2 linked regions of the Saccharomyces cerevisiae S288C genome follow. Changing the gene in region 1 together with any one later gene gives a genetic interaction. Each region holds a gene or a part of one and is shown on either strand. Other genes may lie near its edges.

Region 1 (5,820 bases):
TAGGTCCCGTATACGAGGCGCACGCTTCATAGTGCCTATACCTTTTATTGCATTTCCAAGGCACAAGAATGTTTTCTCACAGTGTACATACTTCCGAAGAATCCCTTTAGGGTGCCTTCAGAGATGCAGCTGCAGCTTTTGGCCAAGAAAAAGCCAAAACCAAATTTGCTTTGAACCCTCGTTAAGAGGCCACCTAATCTTTGTGCTCTAAACGGTTGCTACGGGAAAATTGTCGATTCTGTTTTTCTTAAAATAGAAAGTGAAAGACTTATCGAATACCGGAGTCGTATATTGTAGGTGCCTACAGTCTTATACACTGCCAGCAAAAATGTTGACAAGAATAAATGAGCATTCGAGGTGCTACGAAGCCCTAGTTCTGAAACAGCGGAACTTCCACTGGATCAAGCTGGCCATACCGGAAACTATACCGGAAATTGATAAATCAACATCTTAATAAGTATTATATAATTTTTTTTGTAATACTAATAATCGGAGAACAGCACCAGCGCTTCGTATGTTAGGCAACGGTTGCCGCCTAGGTCTACGTTTCTCTATTCATTATATGGTAAGTGAAGGAGACAAAAAGTGGCGGCTTACATACAGAACTTCTATCCTATGGATGTACCTGCAGTCTTTCTGTTTGGATGAAATTGATAGAGGGCTTAGTGTTACTAATACAGAAAGCCTTTAAGCCTTTTTCTCCCTTTTATTCACCGTTTCAATATGTCTATCATTCTGGTCATGTGTTTTTCTTCCAGGAATTTACAATTATTACAGCGATAAGTAATCATACGTATCCAGATTATAGGCCCGTTGCTGAAGAATAACTACACTTCTCTGATATATAGTTATAGCTCAATAACTAATGGCATAGGGGACACAGATTTTCGTAGTCAAATTTCTCAAAGGATAAGAGCGTCATTCCACCTCTTCTCTTCACTTCGTTGGCTTTTATATATTGATTGTGGGGTGTTAATGTTGTAGAGTTACCGAAGTAGCAAGATTCTTATGCGCTTATTTTCTTTTGCTTAATCACACTGTCTAAAGCATATGGATTATGGACAGATGATTGGTTTAGTTCATCTGAAGGCTAGACAATAAAAGGCGGGTTCGGAAGGGGGTAGGCATGCTCAGACTTGACGTAAACGCATAAGCCGGCAATGTTGAATCGATTTTGTAACTCGCCTGAGTGTTACATGAGATTACATATAGGATCGAACCATCACGAAATCAATTACGCTGTGTTATTGAATCATAAAATCACAGAGCTTCCCGAGAAAACGCTAAATTATGTGTCAAGTACTGTGGGCATCTCTTAACGCTATCTTATATTCATTTCACTTTTTATATCTAGTCCTTTTCTTTTCTTTATTAAATAAAACTACCACCTTGTATGATTCTTAGCAAGACATTCCAGCATTAATACCAGCACAGGTTTCTTCTCCCTTGTTTTCATCCGAAGAGAAAGGATAGTGCTTCTTATGCTTCATTAATAATTTGGAATTCACATTTATATACACGCTAAATATCATAATGAACGAGGATCATGTAGAAAAACACATTTACCCATAATGGTGAAACAAATTATCAACAGTGCTTTTACGTTATCATCATTTACATATAAAAAATTTATCTAACAAAAATCATGTGAAAAATCATCTGTTATTTCGTTAAAGTACGCGCTAAAAAAAAGTCGGCACTAATTTTATTTGACGAGGTAGATTCTACCTTCCCATGGTTTCAAAACTCTGGAGGAAACGTCAGTATCATCATAATTTCCAAGAATAAAAGATAAAGAAGCACCTTCTCTTGGGAGGCTGAATTCAATTTCTTCGCCACTGAAATTCAAAGCAGCAAACAGCGTCTTGTCTTCGTACTCTTTAGTGAAGCTAAAGATCTGGTCACTGTCTAAATCAATGAATTGGAAATCGTAACCATAAATCATAAGTTCCTTATATTTCTTTCTGGCTTGCAAGGCCCTTTTCCAAAAATTGAGAACTGAGTCATCATCTCTGGATTCCTGCTCAACATTGATTCCTTGCTCAAAAGATTCATTCAAGAAAAACCAAGGTTTAACATCTGGGCCAGTAAATCCAGCATTGGGCTTATCTTTCGTCCATGGCATGGGAGTTCTCGAATGATCTCTAGAAAGTAGGGCGATTCCTTTAAAAAAATCCTTCATTTCCTTCGAGTTTTTACCAAAACTTTTTTTGATAATCTCGTAGTTGTTTTTCACATCAACGTCCTCATACTTTTCAATAGGCCATTCCTTGAAATTGATCTGGCCTATCTCCTGACCTTGATAGACATACAACGTACCTGTCAATGAACATTCTAGCAATGTTAACAGCTTACCAGATATTTTACGGTACTTTGGCGAATCGTCAGCAAATCTCGTAATTGACCGGGCTTGATCGTGATTCTCGATGTAGGTGGTAGCCCAACTATCAGTACCGTTAATGAACAAAAAGTTCGATGCAATGGCTTCTTTCCATTGTTTCAAGGTGAAGGGCACTATGTTATAACGGAAAAATGGCGAGGTACCAAGTTCAACGTGCGTGAAGGAGAAAACTTCGCTGACTTCGTATCTAGCTGCACTGGTGTATAAAGCATTATCACTTCCATGGGCAACTTCACCGACTGTCATTATTTCTCTACCATCTTTCACCCTGTTTTTCATAAATCTGTGTAGTTCTTGATGATATTCATGAATCCTAGGACCATTGTGAGACCCCCAATTTGGATGTTGTAATTTCGAGGTTTTGTCAAAAATTGGGGAATCTGGTAAACCAGGACGTTTCGAATACAAACCAGCGGTATCGATTCTAAAACCATCTACACCATGGTCCAGCCAAAATCCAACAGCACTTTCAAAGATTGCCCTTCTGCAGTCTTCATTCTCCCAATTCAAGTCAACTTGACGACTCGCAAACAAACGGAGGTAAAATTCATTTGTAGTTTCATCAAAAGTCCAAGCTGAACCACCAAAGAAAGATTTCCAATTGTTTGGAGGAATTGGCTTGCCTTCGGCGTCATAACCTTTAGGAGGTCTCCAGAAGAACCAGTCACGCTTCGGATTGGTCTTCGAGGATCTGCTCTCTTTGAACCATTCGTGTTCTGTAGAACAGTGGTTGATAACCAAATCGGTGATGAATTTCATACCCAGCTTATGAGTCTTGTCAATTAGCTCAAAACAGTCCTCGTTGGTACCGTATGTGGGCCAGACCTTTTCGTAGTTAGATATATCATACCCCATATCTTGTTGAGGAGAGTCATAAAACGGACAAACCCAAATAGCATCAACGCCAAGATCTTTAATATACTGCAACTTGGAAGTGATACCTTTTAAATCACCCCAGCCATCGTTATTGGAGTCTTTAAAACTTGCTGGGTAAATTTGATAGATTGTGGCCTCTTTCCACCACTTTGGTTCTGTTTCTGGATGATCAGAAATAGTCATTTATGTATTTTAGTTACGCTTGACTGATGTACATTTGAGATTATCAAAAAAACTGCTTAAGAGATAGATGGTTTAATTTTTTAGAGACGTATTAATGGAACTTTTTATACCTTGCCCAGAGCGCCTCAAGAAAATGATGCTGAAAGAAGAATTGAGGAAGGAACTACTCATCTTACGTTGTTTGTATCATCCCACGATCCAAATCATGTTACCTACGTTAGGTACGCTAGGAACTGAAAAAAGAAAAGAAAAGTATGCGTTATCACTCTTCGAGCCAATTCTTAATTGTGTGGGGTCCGCGAAAACTTCCGGATAAATCCTGTAAACTTAAACTTAAACCCCGTGTTTAGCGAAATTTTCAACGAAGCGCGCAATAAGGAGAAATATTATATAAAAGCGAGAGTTTAAGCGAGGTTGCAAGAATCTCTACGGTACAGATGCAACTTACTATAGCCAAGGTCTATTCGTATTGGTATCCAAGCAGTGAAGCTACTCAGGGGAAAACATATTTTCAGAGATCAAAGTTATGTCAGTCTCTTTTTCATGTGTAACTTAACGTTTGTGCAGGTATCATACCGGCCTCCACATAATTTTTGTGGGGAAGACGTTGTTGTAGCAGTCTCCTTATACTCTCCAACAGGTGTTTAAAGACTTCTTCAGGCCTCATAGTCTACATCTGGAGACAACATTAGATAGAAGTTTCCACAGAGGCAGCTTTCAATATACTTTCGGCTGTGTACATTTCATCCTGAGTGAGCGCATATTGCATAAGTACTCAGTATATAAAGAGACACAATATACTCCATACTTGTTGTGAGTGGTTTTAGCGTATTCAGTATAACAATAAGAATTACATCCAAGACTATTAATTAACTATGAAGGGATTATCCTCATTAATAAACAGAAAAAAAGACAGGAACGACTCACACTTAGATGAGATCGAGAATGGCGTGAACGCTACCGAATTCAACTCGATAGAGATGGAGGAGCAAGGTAAGAAAAGTGATTTTGATCTTTCCCATCTTGAGTACGGTCCAGGTTCACTAATACCAAACGATAATAATGAAGAAGTCCCCGACCTTCTCGATGAAGCTATGCAGGACGCCAAAGAGGCAGATGAAAGTGAGAGGGGAATGCCACTCATGACAGCTTTGAAGACATATCCAAAAGCTGCTGCTTGGTCACTATTAGTTTCCACAACATTGATTCAAGAGGGTTATGACACAGCCATTCTAGGAGCTTTCTATGCCCTGCCTGTTTTTCAAAAAAAATATGGTTCTTTGAATAGCAATACAGGAGATTATGAAATTTCAGTTTCCTGGCAAATCGGTCTATGTCTATGCTACATGGCAGGTGAGATTGTCGGTTTGCAAATGACTGGGCCTTCTGTAGATTACATGGGCAACCGTTACACTCTGATCATGGCGTTGTTCTTTTTAGCGGCTTTCATTTTCATTCTGTATTTTTGCAAGAGTTTGGGTATGATTGCCGTGGGACAGGCATTGTGTGGTATGCCATGGGGTTGTTTCCAATGTTTGACCGTTTCTTATGCTTCTGAAATTTGTCCTTTGGCCCTAAGATACTATTTGACGACTTATTCTAATTTATGTTGGGCGTTCGGTCAACTTTTCGCTGCTGGTATTATGAAAAATTCCCAGAACAAATATGCCAACTCAGAACTAGGATATAAGCTACCTTTTGCTTTGCAGTGGATCTGGCCCCTTCCTTTGGCGGTAGGTATTTTTTTTGCACCAGAGTCTCCATGGTGGCTGGTTAAAAAAGGAAGGATTGATCAAGCGAGGAGATCACTTGAAAGAACATTAAGTGGTAAAGGACCCGAGAAAGAATTACTAGTGAGTATGGAACTCGATAAAATCAAAACTACTATAGAAAAGGAGCAGAAAATGTCTGATGAAGGAACTTACTGGGATTGTGTGAAAGATGGTATTAACAGGAGAAGAACGAGAATAGCTTGTTTATGTTGGATCGGTCAATGCTCCTGTGGTGCATCATTAATTGGTTATTCAACTTACTTTTATGAAAAAGCTGGTGTTAGCACTGATACGGCTTTTACTTTCAGTATTATCCAATATTGTCTTGGTATTGCTGCAACGTTTATATCCTGGTGGGCTTCAAAATATTGTGGCAGATTTGACCTTTATGCTTTTGGGCTGGCTTTTCAGGCTATTATGTTCTTCATTATCGGTGGTTTAGGATGTTCAGACACTCATGGCGCTAAAATGGGTAGTGGTGCTCTTCTAATGGTTGTCGCGTTCTTTTACAACCTCGGTATTGCACCTGTTGTTTTTTGCTTAGTGTCTGAAATACCGTCTTCAAGGCTAAGAACCAAAACAATTATT
Region 2 (4,950 bases), on another chromosome or scaffold:
TGTGAAAAATCATGTGTTATTTCGTTAAAGTACGCGCTAAAAAAAAGCCGGCACTAATTTTATTTGACGAGGTAGATTCTACCTTCCCATGGTTTCAAAACTCTGGAGGAAACGTCAGTATCATCATAATTTCCAAGAATAAAAGATAAAGAAGCACCTTCTCTTGGGAGGCTGAATTCAATTTCTTCGCCACTGAAATTTAAAGCAGCAAACAGCGTCTTGTCTTCGTACTCTTTAGTGAAGCTAAAGATCTGGTCACTGTCTAAATCAATGAATTGGAAATCGTAACCATAAATCATAAGTTCCTTATATTTCTTTCTGGCTTGCAAGGCCCTTTTCCAAAAATTGAGAACTGAGTCATCATCTCTGGATTCCTGCTCAACATTGATTCCTTGCTCGAAAGATTCATTCAAGAGAAACCAAGGTTTAACATCTGGGCCAGTAAATCCAGCATTGGGCTTATCTTTCGTCCATGGCATGGGAGTTCTCGAATGATCTCTAGAAAGTAGGGCGATTCCTTTAAAAAAATCCTTCATTTCCTTCGAGTTTTTACCAAAACTTTTTTTGATAATCTCGTAGTTGTTTTTCACATCAACGTCCTCATACTTTTCAATAGGCCATTCCTTGAAATTGATCTGGCCTATCTCCTGACCTTGATAGACATACAACGTACCTGTCAATGAACATTCTAGCAATGTTAACAGCTTACCAGATATTTTACGGTACTTTGGCGAATCGTCAGCAAATCTCGTAATTGACCGGGCTTGATCGTGATTCTCGATGTAGGTGGTAGCCCAACTATCAGTACCGTTAATGAACAAAAAGTTCGATGCAATGGCTTCTTTCCATTGTTTCAAGGTGAAGGGCACTATGTTATAACGGAAAAATGGCGAGGTACCAACTTCAACGTGCGTGAAGGAGAAAACTTCGCTGACTTCGTATCTAGCTGCACTGGTGTATAAAGCATTATCACTTCCATGGGCAACTTCACCGACTGTCATTATTTCTCTACCATCTTTCACCCTGTTTTTCATAAATCTGTGTAGTTCTTGATGATATTCATGAATCCTAGGACCATTGTGAGACCCCCAATTTGGATGTTGTAATTTCGAGGTTTTGTCAAAAATTGGGGAATCTGGTAAACCAGGACGTTTCGAATACAAACCAGCGGTATCGATTCTAAAACCATCTACACCATGGTCCAGCCAAAATCCAACAGCACTTTCAAAGATTGCCCTTCTGCAGTCTTCATTCTCCCAATTCAAGTCAACTTGACGACTCGCAAACAAACGGAGGTAAAATTCATTTGTAGTTTCATCAAAAGTCCAAGCTGAACCACCAAAGAAAGATTTCCAATTGTTTGGAGGAATTGGCTTGCCTTCGGCGTCATAACCCTTAGGAGGTCTCCAGAAGAACCAGTCACGCTTCGGATTGGTCTTCGAGGATCTGCTCTCTTTGAACCATTCGTGTTCTGTAGAACAGTGGTTGATAACCAAATCGGTGATGAATTTCATACCCAGCTTATGAGTCTTGTCAATTAGCTCAAAACAGTCCTCATTGGTACCATATGTGGGCCAGACCTTTTCGTAGTTGGATATATCATACCCCATATCTTGTTGAGGAGAGTCATAAAACGGACAAACCCAAATAGCATCAACGCCAAGATCTTTAATATACTGCAACTTGGAAGTGATACCTTTTAAATCACCCCAGCCATCGTTATTGGAGTCTTTAAAACTTGCTGGGTAAATTTGATAGATTGTGGCCTCTTTCCACCACTTTGGTTCTGTTTCTGGATGATCAGAAATAGTCATTTATGTAATTTAGTTACGCTTGACTGATGTACATTTGAGATTATCAAAAAAACTGCTTAAGAGATGGATGATTTAATTTTTTAGAGACGTATTAATGGAACTTTTTATACCTTGCCCAGAGCGCCTCAAGAAAATGATGCTGCAAGAAGAATTGAGGAAGGAACTATTCATCTTACGTTGTTTGTATCATCCCACGATCCAAATCATGTTACCTACGTTAGGTACGCTAGGAACTAAAAAAAGAAAAGAAAAGTATGCGTTATCACTCTTCGAGCCAATTCTTAATTGTGTGGGGTCCGCGAAAATTTCCGGATAAATCCTGTAAACTTTAACTTAAACCCCGTGTTTAGCGAAATTTTCAACGAAGCGCGCAATAAGGAGAAATATTATCTAAAAGCGAGAGTTTAAGCGAGTTGCAAGAATCTCTACGGTACAGATGCAACTTACTATAGCCAAGGTCTATTCGTATTACTATGGCAGCGAAAGGAGCTTTAAGGTTTTAATTACCCCATAGCCATAGATTCTACTCGGTCTATCTATCATGTAACACTCCGTTGATGCGTACTAGAAAATGACAACGTACCGGGCTTGAGGGACATACAGAGACAATTACAGTAATCAAGAGTGTACCCAACTTTAACGAACTCAGTAAAAAATAAGGAATGTCGACATCTTAATTTTTTATATAAAGCGGTTTGGTATTGATTGTTTGAAGAATTTTCGGGTTGGTGTTTCTTTCTGATGCTACATAGAAGAACATCAAACAACTAAAAAAATAGTATAATATGAAAAATATCATTTCATTGGTAAGCAAGAAGAAGGCTGCCTCAAAAAATGAGGATAAAAACATTTCTGAGTCTTCAAGAGATATTGTAAACCAACAGGAGGTTTTCAATACTGAAGATTTTGAAGAAGGGAAAAAGGATAGTGCCTTTGAGCTAGACCACTTAGAGTTCACCACCAATTCAGCCCAGTTAGGAGATTCTGACGAAGATAACGAGAATGTGATTAATGAGATGAACGCTACTGATGATGCAAATGAAGCTAACAGCGAGGAAAAAAGCATGACTTTGAAGCAGGCGTTGCTAAAATATCCAAAAGCAGCCCTGTGGTCCATATTAGTGTCTACTACCCTGGTTATGGAAGGTTATGATACCGCACTACTGAGCGCACTGTATGCCCTGCCAGTTTTTCAGAGAAAATTCGGTACTTTGAACGGGGAGGGTTCTTACGAAATTACTTCCCAATGGCAGATTGGTTTAAACATGTGTGTCCTTTGTGGTGAGATGATTGGTTTGCAAATCACGACTTATATGGTTGAATTTATGGGGAATCGTTATACGATGATTACAGCACTTGGTTTGTTAACTGCTTATATCTTTATCCTCTACTACTGTAAAAGTTTAGCTATGATTGCTGTGGGACAAATTCTCTCAGCTATACCATGGGGTTGTTTCCAAAGTTTGGCTGTTACTTATGCTTCGGAAGTTTGCCCTTTAGCATTAAGATATTACATGACCAGTTACTCCAACATTTGTTGGTTATTTGGTCAAATCTTCGCCTCTGGTATTATGAAAAACTCACAAGAGAATTTAGGGAACTCCGACTTGGGCTATAAATTGCCATTTGCTTTACAATGGATTTGGCCTGCTCCTTTAATGATCGGTATCTTTTTCGCTCCTGAGTCGCCCTGGTGGTTGGTGAGAAAGGATAGGGTCGCTGAGGCAAGAAAATCTTTAAGCAGAATTTTGAGTGGTAAAGGCGCCGAGAAGGACATTCAAGTTGATCTTACTTTAAAGCAGATTGAATTGACTATTGAAAAAGAAAGACTTTTAGCATCTAAATCAGGATCATTCTTTAATTGTTTCAAGGGAGTTAATGGAAGAAGAACGAGACTTGCATGTTTAACTTGGGTAGCTCAAAATAGTAGCGGTGCCGTTTTACTTGGTTACTCGACATATTTTTTTGAAAGAGCAGGTATGGCCACCGACAAGGCGTTTACTTTTTCTCTAATTCAGTACTGTCTTGGGTTAGCGGGTACACTTTGCTCCTGGGTAATATCTGGCCGTGTTGGTAGATGGACAATACTGACCTATGGTCTTGCATTTCAAATGGTCTGCTTATTTATTATTGGTGGAATGGGTTTTGGTTCTGGAAGCAGCGCTAGTAATGGTGCCGGTGGTTTATTGCTGGCTTTATCATTCTTTTACAATGCTGGTATCGGTGCAGTTGTTTACTGTATCGTTGCTGAAATTCCATCAGCGGAGTTGAGAACTAAGACTATAGTGCTGGCCCGTATTTGCTACAATCTCATGGCCGTTATTAACGCTATATTAACGCCCTATATGCTAAACGTGAGCGATTGGAACTGGGGTGCCAAAACTGGTCTATACTGGGGTGGTTTCACAGCAGTCACTTTAGCTTGGGTCATCATCGATCTGCCTGAGACAACTGGTAGAACCTTCAGTGAAATTAATGAACTTTTCAACCAAGGGGTTCCTGCCAGAAAATTTGCATCTACTGTGGTTGATCCATTCGGAAAGGGAAAAACTCAACATGATTCGCTAGCTGATGAGAGTATCAGTCAGTCCTCAAGCATAAAACAGCGAGAATTAAATGCAGCTGATAAATGTTAAGTAAAAGGGTTGTTTTTTTTTTTTTGGAAGAAATAAGGAATCCCTTTGACTGCTCCCAAAACCCTCAGCTAGCTCGAGATTTTATATATATACATTTTTTATTTTTCTGTAAAACATTCATATTTACCATTTTTTAAGCAAAATATTGTTAGTAGTTAGTTAAAATAGCCCAAGCAGCAATCAAGCAAATATGAGAGTACTTTTTCTTTAGCACCTGGTACTTGTGCCTGGATATTGATTCGAACAACATGCCAGGTCAACCGTATTCTCAATTAACTGTTACTTTAAATGTCCATACACTTAATAAAAAGAAGGAGAGAATCACGCAAAAATCACATTAAACTATATTATAATGTTTTATGAAGTATTTTTGAAGCATTAATGTGAGAGCTTATAGAGATACGACATTCATAATTCAATGCTTTATTGGGATATACTATGCATATTCTATATGGTTCATGAAATATCTCAAAACATATCACATAGTTTCACAATCGCTT

The links. A genetic interaction does not mean that the proteins touch.
Region 2: of MAL32 (region 1) and MAL11, changing one enhances a phenotype caused by changing the other (phenotypic enhancement), as found in Saccharomyces cerevisiae (one study listed by BioGRID).

The regions. Positions count from the first base shown.
Region 1 is NC_001134.8:802,991-808,810, reverse strand, and holds MAL32 (alpha-glucosidase MAL32), read right to left. Parts: upstream 3,461-5,820; coding exon 1,706-3,460; downstream 1-1,705. Other genes in the region: YBR298C-A (uncharacterized protein), read left to right, coding at 3,555-3,776; MAL31 (maltose permease), read left to right, coding at 4,336-5,820.
Region 2 is NC_001139.9:1,073,463-1,078,412, reverse strand, and holds MAL11 (alpha-glucoside permease), read left to right. Parts: upstream 1-2,599; coding exon 2,600-4,450; downstream 4,451-4,950. Other genes in the region: alpha-glucosidase MAL12, read right to left, coding at 60-1,814. UniProt on the Saccharomyces cerevisiae protein: High-affinity uptake of alpha-glucosides such as maltose, turanose, isomaltose, alpha-methylglucoside, maltotriose, palatinose, trehalose, melezitose and glucose. Acts with the concomitant transport of protons into the cell (symport system).